Drosophila melanogaster: one gene and its partners. The protein of the gene in region 2 interacts with the protein of the main gene of each other region in a pairwise test. Each region holds a gene or a part of one and is shown on either strand. Other genes may lie near its edges.

Evidence for each region. Proteins that work in one complex are often made in the same cells at the same time.
Region 1: the proteins of CG9933 (region 2) and Pp1-13C interact in a two-hybrid assay, tested with the Drosophila melanogaster proteins (one study listed by BioGRID).
Region 3: the proteins of CG9933 (region 2) and Pp1alpha-96A interact in a two-hybrid assay, tested with the Drosophila melanogaster proteins (2 studies listed by BioGRID).

What each region holds. Positions count from the first base shown.
Region 1 is NC_004354.4:15,356,889-15,362,600, forward strand, and holds Pp1-13C (protein phosphatase 1 at 13C), read right to left. Parts: upstream 4,174-5,712; 5' UTR 3,903-4,173; intron 3,834-3,902; 5' UTR 3,450-3,833; coding exon 2,541-3,449; 3' UTR 2,213-2,540; downstream 1-2,212.
Region 2 is NT_033779.5:13,017,125-13,024,596, forward strand, and holds CG9933 (uncharacterized protein), read right to left. Parts: upstream 4,189-7,472; 5' UTR 4,055-4,188; coding exon 3,107-4,054; intron 2,803-3,106; coding exon 2,674-2,802; intron 2,606-2,673; coding exon 2,552-2,605; 3' UTR 2,451-2,551; downstream 1-2,450. Other genes in the region: Ube4B (ubiquitination factor E4B), read right to left, coding at 1-537, 705-932; CG9932 (uncharacterized protein), read right to left, coding at 6,199-7,472.
Region 3 is NT_033777.3:24,516,599-24,524,543, reverse strand, and holds Pp1alpha-96A (protein phosphatase 1alpha at 96A), read right to left. Parts: upstream 6,275-7,945; 5' UTR 5,886-6,274; coding exon 5,837-5,885; intron 5,701-5,836; coding exon 5,352-5,700; intron 4,949-5,351; coding exon 4,663-4,948; exon of another isoform or gene 4,605-4,662; coding exon 4,457-4,604; intron 4,202-4,456; coding exon 4,050-4,201; 3' UTR 2,213-4,049; downstream 1-2,212. Other genes in the region: CG13622 (uncharacterized protein), read left to right, coding at 1,112-1,954; DZIP1, read right to left, coding at 6,507-6,953, 7,012-7,168, 7,224-7,945.

The DNA of each region.
Region 1 (5,712 bases), on a different chromosome or scaffold from region 2:
TTCATGTGGGCAGTGCCGATGTCGCTGCCAGCGTTAACTTTACCGTTAACGTTAACGCCACCGTCAACGTCAGCATCGAAGGATATGGCCATGGAATCCGCCCGCAGAGCCACCCACATCACCAACACACCCTCTGCTGGCCATTTCATTAGGCGCATAATTTGTAATTAATAAAATTATTCAAAGGCGACCAAAGGATGCTAATCTGTAACTTAAAGCTGAAGAAAGACGTCAGAAAAAAAAAACGGAAAAATGCTTACTATTAAAGAAATGCACAAGTTCAGTTATATTATGAACACAAAAATTATATCATTATGAGCTTGAGTTTAAAGACTTTATTTTAATATTAATAATATTAAAACCGAAATGATTAACAAATTATTTAAATTTAGCCTTTGAGTTCTAGCTAACAAAATGATTTGATATTAATGTATAAATCTGCACAAGGTTTTGAAATATTGTACTATAACTAACTCAAAAAATATATAATTTGAAATATATAATATTAAAGTTTGAAATTTTAACAAAGGTTTCTAAATAGTAGATCAATATTTGAGTGATCAAAAAAAAAAAAAGAAAAAAATAAATATATTTGAAGATTATTACAATATAATAGAAAAAATGTGCCTAATTTCTAATTAATAACTTTTAACATTTTTTATAAATCGCTTATATAAAAAACCAATGTTTTGTAGATGAAGAGATACTTAAATTTCTTCCAGTGCATACGAAACAATGAATCCCAGATACAAAACTTTAGAGCCAGAGCGAGATGGCGGAGTGAGTATGTATGTGTGTGTGTGTGTGTGCATGGGTGTGTGGGTGTGGCATGCCATATATCTCCACCTCTTTTTCGTCCAGAGGACAAATCAAATGCAACAATAGAAGGCAATTTGCAGCAAAAAGGATACAAATAAATGCGAGTAGCTAACCGGAAAAAGAGAAAACAATTGCACTGCTACCAAATTGCCAAATGTTGTCTGCATTGATTTCCTTTCTACTGCAACATGTACATATATATCCGTGTATCCATATAGAAATATACACATATATAGGTATCTGCTCTGCAGCAGCGACAAACACCGAGCATCTCACACACACATATCCCTTTCGTGCGAGTGTGTGTGTGTGCATAAGGACGCCATTTTAAGCAAGAAATACTCTTGGAAATGCAAAGAGAGTCCGGATTTGGCCAGTAAGTTGAATATTAAATTTGGTAGCTTAGTTGGAATAATGTTACCACATTTACTGGCATTTAAAATTAAAGATTAGCTTAAATAGATATGGTGTAGTCAGGATAATAATATTATATTTAACAAAAGAACAGATTACCTAATGAACTATAAGAATCTACATACATACGTCAATGTTAGATCTTCCATTGTTAAAATGTAATTTAAATATATTAAACAATACTTCTTATAAACATATTAAATAATAATTTAAATAAACAAATAGGGCTATCTATTTATGAAATAAAAATAAATAAGAGTACTGAATTGCCGCTGAACTTTTCTCTCCTGACAATCTGTTCTTCTCACTTGCTCAAATTTTTCTCTTCGACTTGGGTCGTCAACTTCATGATTTATTAACAAATTTGCGAAGAACATTTATTTATTTGCCGTTTGTTGATAAACATGTGACTTTGTTTTCTTTTTGGTCTCCCTTACGCTCTACCGCCATCTCGCTCCCACCCTTTGTATTTCATTGCCCACTTTCTTTTCTGATTGTTTACGCGCTAATGACCTCATTATATATATAATGTAATTTGTTGTTGCCACACTGGGTTCCTTTTCTCTATTGTTTTTTTTTTCATCTTGTTTTGACATAATAAAGCGTTTTTGGCGCAATTTGTTGTATCTTTGTCTCTGTTTTTTTGTTTGTCGTCTGTCTGCCAGCTCGCTCCCTCTCTCTTACGCCCCCATATCGCCCACTCATTTTACGTGTGCATGTGTGCATGTGTGTGCGTGTGCTTTGTTAATTTTTAAGCATTGTTAATATAATATGGCGGTGACTTCTGTCACCGAACACGAACAGATGGAGGTGAATCTCTTTTTCAGGGGGATCACCCACTTTTCACTCCGCCGGAATTCGTAGCACACTTTTCAGGGCTTCCACATTTGGGAAAGGTGCTTAAATTAAGAGTTGGATAAACTAGCTGACAAGATTAATTAGGAAATCGAAAAAAAACAACAATTAGATGAAAACACTTGAAATTTTAAATGTAAGTTTATTTTTGTAAAAGTCGCATATGGCGTTATTTTGCATTAGCTAAGCATAAGCTCTGCGTTCAAATCTCAGTGAACTTACACATATCATACAATATGCAAGAATTGGCTAGTGGATACCTCTGAAGACAGTTAGGATCCATGGAGGTATACGTTGTAGTTGAGCCATTTCCCTCGATCCGGTTGACTAGAGATGTATGTGGATATTATGATTTCGAACCGATTTCGTGTAGGATATTGTGAATGAGTCGCGTGCCGCGTGTTACAATATATAAGAATAAATCTAGAAGCGTCTACAGATCTCGCTGTCCTCTACTTCTTGCGCTTCTCGACAGGCTTCAGGATTTGGAAGGAGCACATGAGTGTATTGTCCACGGACATCATGGCACCAGCATTGTCGAATTCACCGCAATAGTTGGGGGCGGAAAACAAAGTGACCAATTGGCGCTTGGCAAAGAACTCGTAACCATCCTCGACGACTTGATGGGCACGACAGATCAGATCCAGATCGTGCTTTTGGAGGAACTTGACCACAACTTCGGCGCCAAAGGTGAAACTAACGCCACGGTCGTTCTCGCCCCACCCAATGGTGTCCTTGTCCGGATCGGACCACAGCAGGTCACAGAGTAGTCCCTGATCGGGAACATCGGTGGGACGCATAATACGACGGATCTGCTCCATCGAGGTAAGATCCGGACTCAGTCCGCCGTGGCAGCAAAAGATCTTCTCATCCACAATGGCCACAACTGGCAGACAGTTGAAGCAGTCCGTGAATGTCTTCCACAACTTGATGGTATATCTGCGCTTGCACTCGTCGTAGAATCCATAGATTCTATTAATGCTGGCGCACTCGTGATTGCCGCGCAACAAAAAGAAGTTCTCCGAATACTTGATCTTGTACGCCAACAGCAGGCAGATGGTCTCCAGCGACTGCTTGCCCCTGTCCACGTAATCGCCCAAGAAAAGATAGTTAGCCTCCGGCGGATAGCCGCCGTACTCGAACAGACGCAACAGATCATAGTACTGGCCATGGATATCGCCGCAGATCTTGAGCGGCGCCTCCAGCTCTAAGAGTATGGGCTGTGCCAGCAGTATTTCGCGCGACTTGAGGCACAGGCCCCGTATCTCACCCTCCGACAGCTGGACATTCTTGCCAGGCCGTGCGCCACGCACCTCCAACAGACGGGAAATTATGCTCTCCAAATTGAGAACCTCCGCCATGGCCTCGGTCTTGGGGGCCGCGGCTGCGTTGTCCGGGCTGGATAGGACAATCGTCTGGGACGCCGTTGGGGCTGCTTGTCAGGGACTCACCCTGAGATCGCGGCTGTCTGGAGAATGGGACTGGATCCTCGGCGGAGCTGGTCTATTTGGGTCACAAACTTAGCTTCTTGGGTGCAGCAAAATGTATGTCCTGATGACGTGCACTTTTTGTGATGATTTGTGAATTTTTCGATTTACTCAATACCAGGTGCTCAATACCAGAACATAACCGAATGGAATTGCTTCTTCTCGATATGTGGCGGTGAATTGTTTAGCGTTCAGCTTTTTTTTTCTTTTGATTCTTTCACAAAATGCCTAATAAAAATGTAGGACAAATTCTCGCTTCTAGAAAAAGTGAAAAGAAAAAGGTTTGACAGCTTGATTAGCTATATCGATTGAAATCGATTACCCTACCTTCTCTAAGTTCCTTCTAGTGGTGTGCAAAGTCCAGCTGTTGTAATCTAAATTCTAGAATCTAGACATTTGACCTCTGCGTGCTGTACTAGCAGTCGTCTTTAGATCGTGTTTTTTTTTTTTCGATTTCGCTTCTCCGGAAGTTAATGAAAATTGAGGATCTGATCGGATACACATGTGCTGTTCACTAAAACGCACTTTAATACTCTACATTCGCGCTTTTGCGGTATCTTAAAAATTTTAAAAAAAATTTTGATTCCGGAACGGTGACCTTTATACTTTTCAAAGACTAAACGAATGACAAATCGACGACAGACAAGTCAGTGACTACATCGCATTGTTCCAGTTCGTGTTTCATGGAAATGTGATGGTATAGTGATTTCTCAGAAACTTTTACAATAGAAAATATATATATTATATAAACGCATTTATTTGTATTTTCTTCGCATGTTCTAGGTTTTAAACTAAAATAAACGATACCTTAACCATCCTTATAAGCTGTCTTACATCCCGCGTTTGCAGTACTAGAAAGGTATTATTTAAGTTGGTCACCCCTGGAAAAGTGTGCCGACCCTCGTCTGACCCTCGCCCATTTGTTCATATTATCTCTGATTGAGTGGAAAACTTGAAGTTGCCGAGTGCCATTTGCTGTGCACCCCGGTTTTGGTATATTGTATATGAGCTTATTTCGTCGGATTTCCCGGCTAGTGTGGCCACTAATTAGCTGCAATTTGTTGGCGCAACTTGAAAAATGGCAGTGTAAACAGGGTATTTTCCAGTGTCCCAATAATGAGGCAATAACCCCGCATTTTTCACATACATACCATATATATACCATATATATATGTACACATAAGTATATTACATAAATAGCGAGCTGTTCGAGCTGATTGAACTGCTTTGTCGGCTGTTGGCGAAGGGCTCCACTGTACAGTGTGTATCGTGTGCTGGCGCACCGCAAAGCAAACATTCAAACATTCAAACAGCAGCGGCATCGTTTATTTTGGGGAAACAAAGGACCTCATTTTCCCCCATTTGTTTGACCAGCAAGGCAGCAAGGACAACAAGGACAACAGGGACCAACAACAAGCGGCCAAGTTTTATAAATGGCTTGGCCATTGTTGTGCGCCCGCCGCTGTTTGTTGAAATTAATTGGTGTTACACAAATGAGTAATTTTCAATGTACATAAATATTTGCACAAATTGCAATTTGTGTTGTGCGGCGGGGGATTGTCGGTGAGAGGGGGAGTAAGGGGGCGCACTCACTTTCGAGTGCTGTTCAAATAGCCATTTTTATTGTCAAGCGCTAATAATTTCCACAATGAATAATATGAACGGCAAGCATCTGTTATTATTCCAAACAAATCAAAACAAGTGCAGTCGAAACGAAACCGTGTGGGAGTGGGAGTGGGCCAAGACTCTTGAGTGCTGAGCCCTGAGCTTCTGAGCCAGTGATATTCAGAGTCCTGCATCCTGGGCATCCCACCCTGCGCTGGCATCCTGGCCACACACAAATCTTCATAAATTGCAACGGCCGGGGCGACAGTTTTGGGAATTGAGACAAAGTGCGAGAAGTGCCTGTGTACAGGGGCGAAATGCGAAAAGGGGTCGCCAAATGGGAAAATGATACACTTTACTTTACTTATTTTTACACATACACACACACGCACATACGGAAAGGACACCCCGTCGCACACAGACACAATCAAGGAGCAACAAATTGCCGCATAAATGTGGGGTGGTTCGCCACCTAATAGATTTTATTTTATTTTTATATCCGCCAGACGCGCAGCCAGCGGCCAACTTTTTT
Region 2 (7,472 bases):
AGCCTCCATGAGCACATTGGCCACAATGCACTCGAAGTCGAATCTGCGGTGTGGCTGCTGCTCCAGGAAGCTGGCACTCTGGGCACAAATGATGGACCCGCTACCGTACTCATTCCACGTGGCATTCAGTAGGCGGGAGAGCAATTGTTCGTTTTGCTCATCCGCACTTTTTTTTGGACCGACTACAGTTTCAATGGACAACTCGGCATTTCCAGCGGATATCTTGCAACTCTGCAACACACTCCTTTTGGTGGCCTCGGCTGTTGGCAGGCTGAGCGCTGTCGTCATATCCACATCTTGCATTGGTGTCGAGACCACCGACTTCATCTCCACATCCATGTCCGGTTTTCCGCTCAGTTCCCTCCAAGCGGGCGCCGAAGTGGGCAGCGATACCTCCTTTTCGCCGGGCGTGGCCTCACGTACCAGTCGAGACTCGCCAGAGACGTTGGTCGGCTTCCGTGGCGTAGTAGTCAGGGGCGCCAGGGCACACTGGATGCCACTTCGGGCAGCCAAAGTCCGAAGACGACGGGCGCGCATCTGAAAGAATTAAAGAGGTTAGTTCACCAATTTAGCTGTTACCAATTAAAGTATATCATAGTTTAAAGTTCGTTTTCCTTTTACAAAATAGTTTACTTGTATTATTGATTTAGATAACTTTAAATATGATATTTTGTTGCTTCATTAAGTTTGCGAAAACGATATACCTCTTCTGCGGATAATTCGGTGACCACCACAGACTCGGCCGGCTGTTGCGGCTGCACATCGGGGTTGGGTTGCTCAGGCAGTTGCTGACCGGGTATCTCGCCCTGCGCTAACTGGGGCTGCTGATCCTGTTCGTGCTGATCCTGTTCGTGGTCCTGATCCTGATCCTGCTCCTGATCATCATCCTCCTCCTCCTCCATGGGCTTTTGTGGCGGCTCTTCTTCCGGCATTTCTCGGATCCGCTGGTACTCTGGGAAACAATGCGCAGTTGTGCTACCAAATCTGTTTTCGCCTCTCTCACTGTTTTTGTTTGTTTGTGGCGTAGTTTTTCCGCCGCTTCTTCTGATGCTGCTGCAAAATAAGAGGCGATGATGTGGGTTAATGAACCAAACAAAAGCACGCGCACTCGACAAATAAATAAAATAACAAATAAAGAGAAAATTAAAACAAAGTCCAGCGGTCAACGTCAAGTTCACGCGAAGACAATGCCGCCATCGCCAAAACCAGATGGATTGGCCGTTTCTCTTTGTGCTACGCAACTACGCACTAGATGGATGATGTGCAGCATAGCTGGGAGCATACCAGGACAACTGACCTGCCGCACACAGTCAGTGTGCGAATCAAAAGCGGACGCAGATCGGCCGAGGTTGACAAAAAGTGCACGGCTGCAACTATTTTTAGAAGAGGATTTCTCGAGCACTGGCGCTGCACTGCACCCAAAACAAGTGCAGTAAACAATATCATAACATATGCGGAATCGGATGGCGAAACCTTATATAATGTTTAGGGATAGCCGATCGAATAGGATCGGATCGGCACGGGATATCACCAGCTCATTTGCGCATTTGAGACGGCGGATAAAGTACACAAAATCGTGGGATATATAATCGGACATAGGTTCGATGTGAGGGTGTGTGAAATACGGAAAATCGAGGATTGCGCCGCACATATATTCGCACTTACCTGACTCTACGGACCGACTTTCACCTGCTGCAAAACGTATTGGTTGTGCTACGGCCCGTAACTATTGCATTTTACGGAACTCTATATGGTTTCGACAATTCACCCGAACAATTCCACGTCTGGTGGTGACCACGCAAAAAATTTCTCTTTTGTTCTGCGAGCTTCGTGGGGATTGGTTATCGGCCCTCGGCTGGCTATATCTATGTGGGGATCGCCCGAATGCGATCCGTATATCGACACAAATGCTTCACTGGCCAGGCGATGGGCTCAAGAAATACAGACCTCCGAACTTTCCTCCAATTGAATTACTTATAATTTTTGGGTTTCGCGTCAGTCGACGAACAGTGTTTCAGTTTGGTCTGGTGGCCGACAGTCACACTGGCCGCGGCGTGGTCACACTTAAAGATGGAATGTTCGCCGATAGTTGCTTTAACCCTTGCAGGGCCCTCATATTTTTATGATTTCATTATCGAATTTAAAATTTCGTTAAACATCCGAAAAGTTGTGAATCATTTGAATACTATTTGTAATTTTAAATTTGCACTTTTGTTTTTGCCTTTAATTGCAATAATGTTCTCTAAGCATCTATACCCAATTTATATATCCTTTTTGCTCTAAGAGAACTAGTTTGAAAATATCTGAAACTATTGTTTGTTTGTCGTTTGAAAATATTTAAATATCGCTGAATTACTAGGTGCGAACTGATTAACGATGGGAAATCAAAAATTAGGCCTACCAAAATGGTTATATTCCTCATGACACATAATGAAAAGCAAGTGTTGTTTAGTTATTTTTGTTCAACAAAAGAAAATCATTTACTTCATTTTACAAAAATGTTACAATTATGTGGAACCTAATTATGAACCTAATACCTAAGTAACCGCTACTAGAAATCCGTGTATCGCTGTCGCAGACTCTGCCTTTTGGCAACGTGATGCATCTGCAAAACACAAGCATTTGAATTACAAACTGGCATTATATGTGGTTTTAATTAGGATAAGGACTAACCAAGCGCTGCTGACGTCGTTCTCGATTCATTTCGTAGGCCTTGAGCAGCGAGGGGCACGTGCGCTTGATGAACTCCTCCGATTGCCAGAAGAGTCCGCCTTGGTTCTCGTAGCGCAGAAGGAATTCAACCTGCAAGGATATTAAGGTTATTAAATGATACCTACAATTGGGATAGAGGGCAAACTACATAAGATTCAGACTGTTTAAAAGTTTTCCTTCGCTTTACAAAGTAAAGAAAGCTGATCTTTGGCTTATTTATTTTGTAAAAGCAAAAGTCATATAGCAAACCTTTTCCAGCTTAGAATTTTTGTTTACTAAATATGATATGAATAAACCAACAATGTGTTGTAAATGAAACTGTAATCGAATTCATAGAAAATTTGTGAACCCTAAACCGTACTGATAGTTTATTGCTTTCGTATTGCAAACGTACCTTTCCCGCCTTGGTCTCCTTGCCCAGAATGCGTTCAATGCCATTCTCGGGCTTGATGCGTCTGAAGAAGTCCTCGTCGTTGTACTCGGTGACCACCTCCTCGCCGACTTCGTTTAGCATATCCTCGATGCTGAGCAGTCCATCCTGCAGCCGCTCGCCGTTCTGTTCGACGCGCTGCACGTATGTCAACGGGTGCTGCTTGAGGTAATCCTCCGCCTCGGCGATTGTCTTGGCCAGATCGAACTCCTCCTCCGCCTCCTCCTGCTCATCGTCATCGTTGTCCTCGTACTCACCGTCCAGCTCCATGCCATCACAGTTAGCGCCGCTGGGCGAGGAGGTTCGTTTGGTATGCATGGAGCGTCGCTTTCTTTTCATCCAGTTCCCGCCGTCGTTTTCCTTGACGTCCGGATGGAAGCGTACCTTCTTCACGCGCACGGACGACGAGGCGGAATCTGTTGTTTCGGGGGTGGACTGGCTGGGTGTCTGCTGCGACTCCAGCATGCTGCCGCTGATGCTACTAGAGGCGGACGTGGGTGTTGATGTGGATGTGGATGCTGATACGGAGGCGCCGGTGCTCTCCGCCAGCGTGGTTTCCTTGAGGTTCTGTGATATAAGCTTGACTTTCGTCTCGAAGGCAGTGCATGGAGATGTGGGCGATTTGCTGGCCGGATGTTCTGGTGGGGATTGACTGCTCTGCGGACTGTCGCCCTCGCCGCACGACCCCGCCGCAGCTTCAGTCTTGTGATCCGTCTGCTTGCCGGCTCCCTCCATCGAACCGGATTCCTTGTTAATCGATTCCGCAGCGGAATCCCTGCTGCAGTTGTCCAGATCTCCGACTGTGGAGTCTCCGTCGCCCGTCGTCGTTGTCTCCACCATCACACACTTGATTTGCATAGATTTGTCCAGCGAGTCACTGCCAGCCGAGTCATCATTGGACTTGGTATCCATGTGTTTGGGTGGCTCCGTGTTCTCTGCGTTGGCTCTCTATCGTTTTGCGGCTCTGCTAAAGTTCAATTTTAGCTAAATGCATCGCAATTCATTTGTAATCTTTCAACAAAACGGCTTTCTCAGTGTTACCGTACCGACAACTATGAAATATACCCTCAAATTTGCGTAGCTGACTTGGCAGCGATTGTGAAACGATTGGAATTGCAACAGGGAGCTAAATAGTATATATGATTTTATATTTTCTTTGGCTCTTTTGATTATTTGGAGAGTTATTATTTAAGTATCTCAGTAAGAGTAATCTGGAATAGCATTGCATATCCCTTTTTGATTATTATTATTTTTTCTTTAATTAAAAGAAAAAGAGTAAAATAATCTTTTGTTCCACATTCAATCGTTTCACAGAGTTGCCGTATCTTGAAAGTCACTTTTAAATTGATATACCGCTATACCGTTACGCAGGCTACCTTTCAAATTAAAATTCCGTTAAAAAAGAATGCTTGATTTTGATGTTTGATTTCAGTAAAGAAAAAAGAAAAATGTTGAAGTGCTTTCAATTTAATAGAAGTCAATGAACTATTTTGCATTATGATTTGAATTTTTAGAAACTACTTTTGGCGTTTAGATCTGAACCCAATTATTCGATTTCTTTTTTAAATAGAAGTACCAAACATACAGATAATCGGTCAATTGTAAATGCAACTTGTGTTGTTTTTATTTGATTTCTTTATTAACAATTGTTTTTGTACATTTTCTCTTTTGTAATTCAATGCCGTAAATCTTATTGTGTGTTTGTGTGGTGTGTGTAAGTGTTGCGTGTGGTTGTGTGCGCAGTAAACAAAACTAAGTTATTTACACTAGCTTTAAGTTTAAATGTAGTTCAATGTTAAGGACTATTTAATATATAATATATTGTGTGTATAGATATTCGTATCGATATAAGATGTATATATGCATATCAAAGGCGGTTTGCATTTATATCCAAGTTAGATTCTGTATACATATCGCTTGTTTGCGCTATATCTTCTGGTTTTGATTTGCTTTGTTTTCAAATGTTTCCTTGCATTAAGTTTAAACTATTTAAATATGGCCCCGCTATTCCACATGTGTTCTTTTTGTTTGCTTATAGTTTAATGATAACATTTTGTTTGTAGTGTTAACGCCTACACTGTGCTACAAAGACGCCGTTTGCTGGAAAACATTCGCACTAATGATGAGAACATAACTAATCCGTAGTAGAAACTAATTACTATTAACTAATTTTAAATGTGTGCTGCACTTGTACAAAATAATATTGCAAATATTGCAAAAAATTCCCTATTCTCTGTTGATTTTTCAATTGCATTTTAAATGTGTTTCTTTTTGTTTCTATAGTTTTTATTTTTGCAGCAGCTGTGTGTAAATATATATATATGTATAGATTTATATAGTATGTATATAGTACCATATTCATTGCATGATATACGCGCTCACTTTCTTATTTCTTTTTTTTTTTGCATTTACAATTATCAATAATCACAGTTCCCATTCGAAAAATTAAACGAATTATTTGTAGCAAGACATAATTTTGAATTTATCTCTTTTTCTCCTGTACAAAGTTGATTTCCTTGAAACGCTTTTGGATCTTGCTCGGATTGGGTTGGTTTTCCAATTTAATATATTAAGCCGATGGTAAATATATATATATAGGTTCTATATTAAAATGCCTTCTATAGTTATCTCTTTGATAAGTTACAATACGATTAGTTTAAATTACATTTTGCACCGTTCTAGCAAGTAATTACATTAAGAATTCCGGCTTATCCCATTTGCAAAGTATTCGAATAATGGTATTTCATTCCTTTTTTGTTTATAAATTATCGTTACTTAATTACCTTAGGTTCTAGAAAAAACGTAAAAGTGCAGGAACATGTTCCAACTAGGTGTGTATAAGTGGGTGTGTGTTAGTGACAATAGAAATCCCAAAACAGGTGCCTAAAACGAATCCCCAACTCCACTAACGCATACCCAAAAAAAAATATGGAAAAGCATAAGCAACAACAAAATATTAACAAAACCAAAACTCACTTAAATCGAAAAATAACCATAAGCTTAGTTGGATAAATTATGGATTAAATTAAATAAAAGGTTCGACCCTTGGATGTGGCCTACTTTCTGGAAATGACTTTGCCCGTCTGGGCATTGACCAGTATCATTTTTTCCGGTGTTGCGGGTCGCTCCTGGCCGGAGGTGGAAGTGGCGTCCTCCGACTGGTTGGCACTTCCCCGAAGGATCCTTCTGCGCAGGCGATCGCTGATATTCTCGCTCTTCTGGGACTCTGAATTGGCGCCCTCATCCTGGGAGAGCTTCACACTCAAGCCGCCATCGTTCTTGTACAGAATCAACTTTGTGCTGGACTTTTTGGCCGACGACTCCTCCATTCCCTCGACAGCTGGCTGTTCATCTGGGCCGCTGCTGCTTGGCTGCTGTTGCTGCTGCTGCTGCACATTGGCGTTCATCACATTGTCCTGGTTGTTGTTGTGCTCGGTCTGCTCCACCTTTGAGTCAGCGGTTTCTTCCGGTTCCCGCTCAACGCTGATCTCCAGCTGATCGTAGCAGGTAAAGAACTCCACGGACTTGAGCTTCTCACCAGCATTGAAATGCAGCGCCGTGTGCTCCTCCATTTCCGCCTCCTCATTGGCATTGTAATCACAATGGGCACATTTCTGGCAGTTCGGAGGTGGAGGATTTACGCAGGCGTGCTTCTGTAGATGCTGCATCAGCTCCTCGTGCTGCTGCGTCTCGAATGGACAGTGGAGGCAGCGTTCCGGTGCCGGAATGGACTGGGGCATGTCAACGGATCCTGCATCACTGCTGCCATCTGCGGCCAAATCACTGGTGGCCACCGAAGCGCTGGTCGACGGTGTGGAGCTGCTATGTCGCTCCTCGTCCTCCTCGGGGACTTCCGCCTCGTTTTTGTTAACGGATACTTTCAGGGGAAGTGGGACCATCTGACCACCGCCCGATTCCAGCTGCTTCTTGAGCAGAGAGTTCTGGTTGTCAAACCCACCGGTGGAGGTACTAACTGCACCGCCGGTAGTCTGCTGCAGCAGTTGCAAGCTCAATTCGTTATCCACCACCCAAATGGTTTCGGGACCAGTCAGCTGCAGCAACTTGGGTGCCGGATACTCGACATCCTCCTTGCAGTTCCTATAGAGCTCCTGGCACTTTTCCTGGTAGTGGGACATGTGCACCGCACGGTGCAGTTGGAGCATAGTCTCCTCCGACGTACGATACTCACAATAGGCGCAGACATAGCTCGGATCCTGATCCTCCGGCTCCTGATCGCTGTGGGCCAGCAAATGCTGCTCTAGCTCTTGCTTGGCATTGCGCTCGTCATTGTGCTTCTGGGCAAAGCGAGCCGGACACCTGGGACAGTAAC
Region 3 (7,945 bases), on a different chromosome or scaffold from region 2:
AACGACCAATGACCGAGCCACCCAGCAACCCTGTTCGTTGCTGTTGTTTGCCCTTTCGATTTAATTTTCCCCCGCTATGCGGTTCATTGAACCTTACCTGGTTGTCAACATAATTTATGGCCATAATATGGGGTATATATGGCTTATACGATATTCACGCTTCGCTCTCTTCGAGGAAGTCAAATCGAACCACTTAAGCCGGACACTTGAGCGGACTTAGCGTACATTCTACAAGTGCACAGGAACTAGTTTTTATTGGGTCAATATTTGGCAACATTTGGTGTGCTGAAATCACAACAGTCGAATTCTTGCACAAATGGGAAAACTAATTTTGGGTTAAGCGAATTGGCTAATCTTATGGGTGGCTACCGCTAAATTAAATGCACAATTTGGATTAACGGGCATCATTAAAACTGGAAGTCCGTAAAATAGGTAATTGGGAAATCAAAAATTTTCAGAAAAATCCAAAGATGAAATCTTAGTTGCAAGCATGTGTTTATATATTTAGGATTTTCACTTTCATTCCTTTTTAAAAATGTATAATAACAATGCAAATCACAATGTATATATTAACTATCAAATCAAATCAAAAAAATTATACCTTTTGCTTTTGATTCTTTAAATTCGCTCTGCTTCATCCCATCAATCTCTTTTGATCATTTACAACACTATTCTTTGATTGTAATTCTACGATTGAACTCATGGTACCGAATTCAAGTTTGTTGCCTAAGTCTTTCGTTTGGCCAGCACATTTTTTTGTCCAACTGGGCTTAGGCATCCACTTGTATGCGTGTGGACATGAGTCTGCCAGCAAGTGTTTGGCCAAAAATAAACGGCCCAAGGACCTCGACATGTGTCTATGGAAACTGTTGCAATTGTTGTTCAAATATAAACAAACGATATGCGAGTGCTTAGCTGAGCCGGCTAACGGTATATACATATGGTATGATGATTGGTGATAAAGTACCAGACCATAAGTGTGGAAACCGGTTGTCGCCAGTAGTCTCTCAACATTCATCGGGCACGCAATCAGTTTGGGGAATAGAATAATCTGAAAGATAAGTAATTATCACTGAAATCATCGGAAAATCTAGACGCAATAGTTTCCAAAATGCACAAATGCTATTGTGGCGTAATGAGATCGGGAAGTGAGCGGCAGTCGCAACATCTTGCGCTCAATCGAGATCATCATCCACGTGGCGATCTCAGGTCGGTGACCTCTTCTTCCAGACAAAGCCTACGACCCACCCAATTTATAAAACGTCCGAGCGTAAAGAACCAGCCCAGATTTGGCCTAGGCCACTCCAGCACCGAGTTGGTCAATGACTTCAGTCGCCGGAACTCCACAGCCACCACGGTGAGTCACTGCTCCAGCTGCAGCTGCAGCTCCTCCCAGCAACGTCAGCAGAGCAGGGCCAAGGTTTTGCGATGGGGCTGGGAACGAACAGGAGGTATTGACACCTCGAACACGAACCATCATGAAAGGTACACGGACAATCGTCGCCTTTACGAGCAGAGCGCATGCGTCGCCAGTCGCCAGAGGAGCCAAGGTCAGGGTCAGGTTTACAGTGGCAACTCGACGCCATCGCCACGCCCAGTTCAGTATCCCAAACAACAGGCGAACGATGAGCTGCAGCAACTGAAGGCCCTGCAGCACTTCCGCCTGATGAACACAAGCGAATGCTTCAGTGATGTCCGCCAGGATAAGCTGCGCCTGCAGCGGGCATATGATAAAATCATTTTCAACAACTCGGACAAGTGGAACAAAGATCGCGCCAATGAGAGCAGGCAACAGGAAGTGACGAGGAGCAGCAGCAGCAGCACCACCACCACACCTTATGCCTTAAGGCAGAAGTTGCTCCAGCTGAGGCTCCAGGAGGATGAGCGACATGGCAGGGGCACGGGTGGCACATGTGCTCCTTTGGGAAAGAGTTGCTCACTGCGATATAACTAAACACAAAGTGCTATACAAAGTAAATTTAGTGCAATATATTAAGCAACATAAAGTAAAGTTATAAATAAGATTTTAAAGTCCTCGAAATGCTTTAGATTGTAACACCAACTATATAGACAATAAATAATAGATTTGCTTTTTTAAACAAGAAACTAACATGCATTTCACTCAAGTAAAAACACATCTCGAATTTCATATTTATTGCTAGTATGTATTTCAATTTTTTTTTTAATAAAACAGTGCTATTTTGTTACAAGTGCTTCGTCATTGTGTTCATTTTGTTTAATTTGTATTTTTTTGTTTCATTTTTTAGCTCTTTTTTAAATGATTTTTTTGTTTGTTATTTTTTTATTGTATTTTATTTTTTTTGCAATTTACGCTTTGAATGCATTATAAATTTACCCCATCTGTCTTTTCTAATTTCCTTCTTGGGGTCAATTACACTTTAATTTTACGATATTACGTTATAGATTTCTTATGACTTGTGTTTTTTGGGGGTTGAAAACAGCCGATGTCGTACTGGATCGCATTATTACAAGTACATATATAGTCGTAAATATACGTTGAATTCATTACAACATTGAACAGAGTACTAGAGTGTGAAATAGAAGAGGACTCATGCTTTGCTTTTGGTTTTGTTTTTTTTTTTTTGTCCGTAGGTTACACGATTGTTGTTAGTAGGTTGCTTGGTTGTCGGGCGGGGATTGGATTGGATTGGATTATACAAACGAAACCATTTTGGGTAACTTGCGTCCGGCTGCATCGCTCCGGATCGCTGCCTGCCTGCCTGGGCATAATACTTGTAATTGAATGTGGCGGCCTTTAGCACTAGAATGTTGCGACGTTAGTCGTAGAATGCAAAATACACAAAAGTGTACACTTGTACGATAAACAGTGTTTGTGTCTGTGTTTGTTGCGCTGCTGTTTACAAATATTTTATTACTTGCTTATTTTTGTTTCGATTTTTTTTTCTATATTTCGTGTGAGTTTCACATGCACTTAATGGGTCTGGGGCCGCTGCTTTCCTTTCGTCTGGGCGGGGGATTAAAAGGGGGTAACATTATCTGCCTCGTCGCTGACATCAGCAGAGAGCACACAGTGCCGCTCAAAAGCGTTCGCCTTAAGGTAGATTTTCAATTCGGGTTTATTTTTGTCTATATAAACATACTTTTCAGGGTTCTCCTTAAAATCGTGTGTGCGTGCTTGCCTGTATGTGTGTGTTTGTGTAATGCAAACAGTTAAAAAATATTCACAATATTTGTTTATTTTAATATTTTTGGTGTAAACAATTCAAGCTTTTGTAGCTTGCAACTAAAATTGCTTTCCTCGTTTTAAAACTAAGTAAACATGTATCGATGTCAAATATTACAAAAATAAATCGTGCTTCGAGTACATACATATGTAATATGTAGTAACCTCAACTCACATTTAAAAGCATTCTCGTACAGTTTAATTAACATAAAATTTAACATTGTTACCATTTGCTAATATTCCCTTAGATACGCAAAAAAAAAAAACAAGGAAGAAGGGAAGTGTGGTTAAAGACCTTTGCCAAAGGTGCCGCCAGGATCGGCATACATAATTAAAATGCTGTGCGAGTTGGAAATGCAAATTAAAATACAACCGGTGCGTGCACTTATGGTACCTACTGTACGGATGATCTGAGCATGTGTATGTGTGTGTGTGTGTGTGAGTGTGTGGGTTTTGCGCAAGGAAATATTATAACAAAATTAATACATTAGGAGATAAAATATTCTTGCTTATGCAGTGTCTTACACTACCATTAGTTTGAACTAAAGTGTCTCGATTTGTGTTTTCTGGTTTCTTAATTTCATTTCATTCGTTTCGTTTTCCTTATTTGTTTTTGTTTTTTTTTCCTTTTCAAATGAAAGATAGGCTAATTTGTGTAGATTCATATTCCCCATATAACGTTGCTCACGATTCGATTACACGTTTATGATAAAAACAAACTCTCTGCGCTTTCCGTTGAATGTGGACACACGGATTCTCCTTTCTGTTTTCCCTATTTGTGTTTTGTGTGTGTGGCCGTTTGTAGTTGCTGTTGTTGTTGTGCTTCGTTCGAGGTGTGCAGTGTTTATTTTTTCTTGTTTTTATTGTTAGCTCCGCGTGGCGGTGTCAAAGGACGTCCTGAGCTGCCAAAGTTGGGATAAACAAATCGTCGCTTGTCGGCGGGTTTCAATATCTGGAAGGAGCACATCAATGTGTCGTCCACGGACATCATGGCACCTGTAAACGTAATCAATAATGATTAATCAATTCATTAGAAGCGGGTGTCGTGCATAGGTAGTTTCATTCTCGGTATTGATTATTGATTATTTTTAAATGCGCATTTTCCGAGTTGAATTTAAATCTGGTTGCCAGCTTTCACTTGCCGACAGCTTATCGGCAGGCAAAATCACCGAGTACAAGGGTGCAACGTGGTTGTTCTCCAAATAAACAAGGTTTATCTCCGACTAAAGTCCCCGAACAATGATCACTTACCCGCGTTGTCGAATTCCCCGCAGTAGTTGGGCGCCGAGAAGAGCGTCACCAGCTGACGTTTGGCGAAGAACTCATAACCGTCCTCCACTACCTGATGAGCCCGACAGATCAGGTCAAATTCGTGCTTCTGTAAAAATTTACCCACAACCTGCAAGAGCGAATGCATAAACAACATTGTGGCGAACAGTGTAATGCGAAGAACCCACCTCTGCTCCAAATGTGAAGCTCACGCCGCGATCATTCTCGCCCCAGCCCATGGTATCCTTATCCGGATCCGACCACAGCAGATCGCACAGCAGTCCCTGATCGGGCACGTCTGTGGGACGCATGATGCGTCGTATCTGCTCCATGGACGACAGATCTGGACTCAGGCCACCGTGGCAGCAGAAGATCTTCTCATCCACGATGGCGGCCACCGGCAGGCAGTTGAAGCAGTCCGTGAAAGTTTTCCACAGCTTGATGGTGTAGCGACGTTTACATTCGTCATAGAACCTGCCAATTAAGTGCAATTAGTTGAGTAATTTTATGGATTATTGCTATAGAATGTGGCATTTACTTTATGTATTTGAAGTATGGCTAATTTAATTGTAATGGATATCGTTGTGTGCGTCAATAAACTAGAAAGTATTAATAAGCTTGGAAGCATAAGTAGACATCAATATGTCTGGGAAATTTTTAAAGCTCACGTAAACAATAAACAACTATAAGTTCTATAGCATGTATAAAAGTACATAGTCATCAGAAGTAAATACGAGTCGTAAGAATAATATAAATTGTAATCAAATGAGTTTCAGTAATCTAAGCAGGAAAGCAAATTGTTTCGGTGCTGAACTGAACAGATTGCTAACCATTTCATCAAGCTTCATCCTGTTTTTGGAGCCGCCTCCCCACTTACCCGTAGATGCGATTGATGCTGGCGCACTCATGGTTGCCGCGCAGCAAGAAGAAGTTCTCCGCGTACTTGATCTTGTAGGCCAGCAGCAGGCATATCGTCTCCAGGGATTGCTTGCCGCGATCGACATAGTCGCCCAGGAACAGGTAGTTTGACTCGGGCGGAAAGCCGCCGTATTCGAACAGGCGCAAGAGGTCATAATATTGTCCGTGTATGTCGCCGCAGATCTTCAGCGGTGCCTCCAGCTCCAGGAGTATGGGCTGCGACAGGAATATCTCGCGGGACTTGAGGCACAGGCTGCGGATCTCGCTCTCTGATAGCTGAACATTCTTTCCCGGTCGTGCACCGCGCACTGCAATGGAAAACCAAGCAGGGAAAATTTACGTTAAGGTGATGAGAGTGGGCGGTGGTTGGGTGGCAAGGCATGTGGGGAATGGGTGATGATGGGTGGGGGCAAGGTAATCAAAAGTTGGAGCCCTAACACCTACCCTCCAGCAGGCGCGAGATGATACTGTCGATGTTCATGATATCCGACATCTTTGTGGGCCCGCTTGCTCAGCTTCCTGAAGTTCGCTTATCCGCCGATTGCAGCAACTGCTATTTCCCGTAACCCGTGTATTTTCGGTATACGTTCGTTATGTATGTTATTTCATCGATGGGCACGGGCTGCGTGTGCCTGTGTGTGTGTGCGCCGTGTCCGTGTGCGGATGGAAACTCGGTGCTGGGCTAATCTCGCCCTTTGGTCAGCTGGATGCACGGATTCGCGGATTCACTGCCTCGGTTGCTCACCCCTCTGAGGTTGGCTGACTTCAATCGTTCCGATCCTTAGCCAGCTGCCCTTTTATTGCATTTAATGCACGTTTTACTCGCGACGTACTAAAAAATTTTCATCTACGTTGGTTAGTGACGTCGATTGTTTACAGCGCGAGTCGATTGCCTATCGATTGCCTATCCATTGCACGGCGCGCAGCTATCGGTAAAAGGTAGTGTGACCGGAATATGCAAATTCATTTAAAAAACAATATTTTTTAGTTAAGTACGGTACATTGAACAGGTGATAGGTACTCATAAAGGAATATAATTATCTTATGATATATTGGCTATTAAACGTATCGTTGACATTTATACCCAAAGTATTATAATATCATCTTTATTGACTCATTTTAGGTTATCATCGCTGTCATTGAAGCTCTTCCCGTCCTCCGTGGTGTTGAACATCACCCGCTTCCTGGGCAGCGGAACTGGCCTCGAACTCAGGGACGACTTGGAAGCTCCTCGAATAGTGGCCGCCGGCTTGACCAGGATCTCCTCCAGACGAGCCTTGAAATCGCGACTAACTAGTCTTTGAGGACTGGGGCTTCGAGTTTGCTGTTCGCTGCTATCCGTTTGCTCATCCGTCTGCTCTTCGCCTTGAGAGCTGGCTATATCCTCTTCAGACTTTTCAGAGATCGCAGACCTCGGGATCCCTTTGCCTGGAACCTCCATTGGCTTGAGTGGACTCTTGTGCTTCAGCAACATTTCCGCGCGTTCCGAGAACTTGGCGGAGCACAGTTTTTCGACAAACTTGCGGATGCGATTTCGAGTGGCGTAAAAATGTGGATGTTGCTAAAGGGTATTCCAGAATTGTCAAAAGTTCATTAGTTTTTGGCAGTTATAGGCTTACCAGTTTCAGTTTGTTGCGGTGCTCTGTCAGCTCGGAGTTCACTCTCTTCAAAGAGTTATGCGAAATACCTTTGGACTTCATATCGAAGCCGTGAGACATCAACTTCCGGTTGACCATCTTCCGGGCATCCTTGCGAGTAAGTGGTTTTTGAGGGCTCCTTAAAACATGTGGATTATTATTACTCTAAGAAAGCTTAACATCGAAACACTCACTTGATGATTCTTCCAGAAGGCTTGATTGTTTTTGGCGTTGGATCCTCTCGTGCTGCTTCCGACCCGGAGGTGGGAACATCGGTCCCCTCCTCCTCTGTCAGGCTGCGCTCCTCTTCGTTCTCCGTCTCTTCTTGGCTGAGACTATCGCTTACGTCCGTGGCTTCTTTCGTTTCCTGCTTATTAGGAGCAGGTTCCCTTGGAGATTTCGTATAAGTCGGATTGCTGTCCGAACTTCCAGCACTTGGCTGCTCCTTTTCCACCACTTGAACTTGGGTCACCAGCTGTGGGAATGGTTTCTCCGAACCTTTTCGTGGCGCCTCCTCAATGGAATAGGTGTCATCGTCATGTTTCTGTTTGAGGAACTCGCTCTCCACCTGCTTGCGAATCCGATCAATGTTGGTTTCCTCCTTGCGAACCACCGGCTTGGGTATTTTCGAGGCAACTGGCACAGTCTGCACAGGCTCTGGCTGCACCTTTTGAACACTCAGCTGCTTGAGCTCTCGCTCCAGTGCCCCTAGCTTCTCCTTGTAGCCCTCCTCAAGGTGATAGACCACCTCTTCCAGCCTGTGTGCGCTGACCTTTCCAATCTCTGCCACCTTCTCAGTGAGTATGCGCTCCAGATCCTCCAGACACGGCGTGGCCACCCGATCTTCCAGCGGAGGCGTGCTGGCGGATGCCTGTTTACTCTGCTCGAGTGCGTGGCTCAGGCCCTCCAGCCTCTT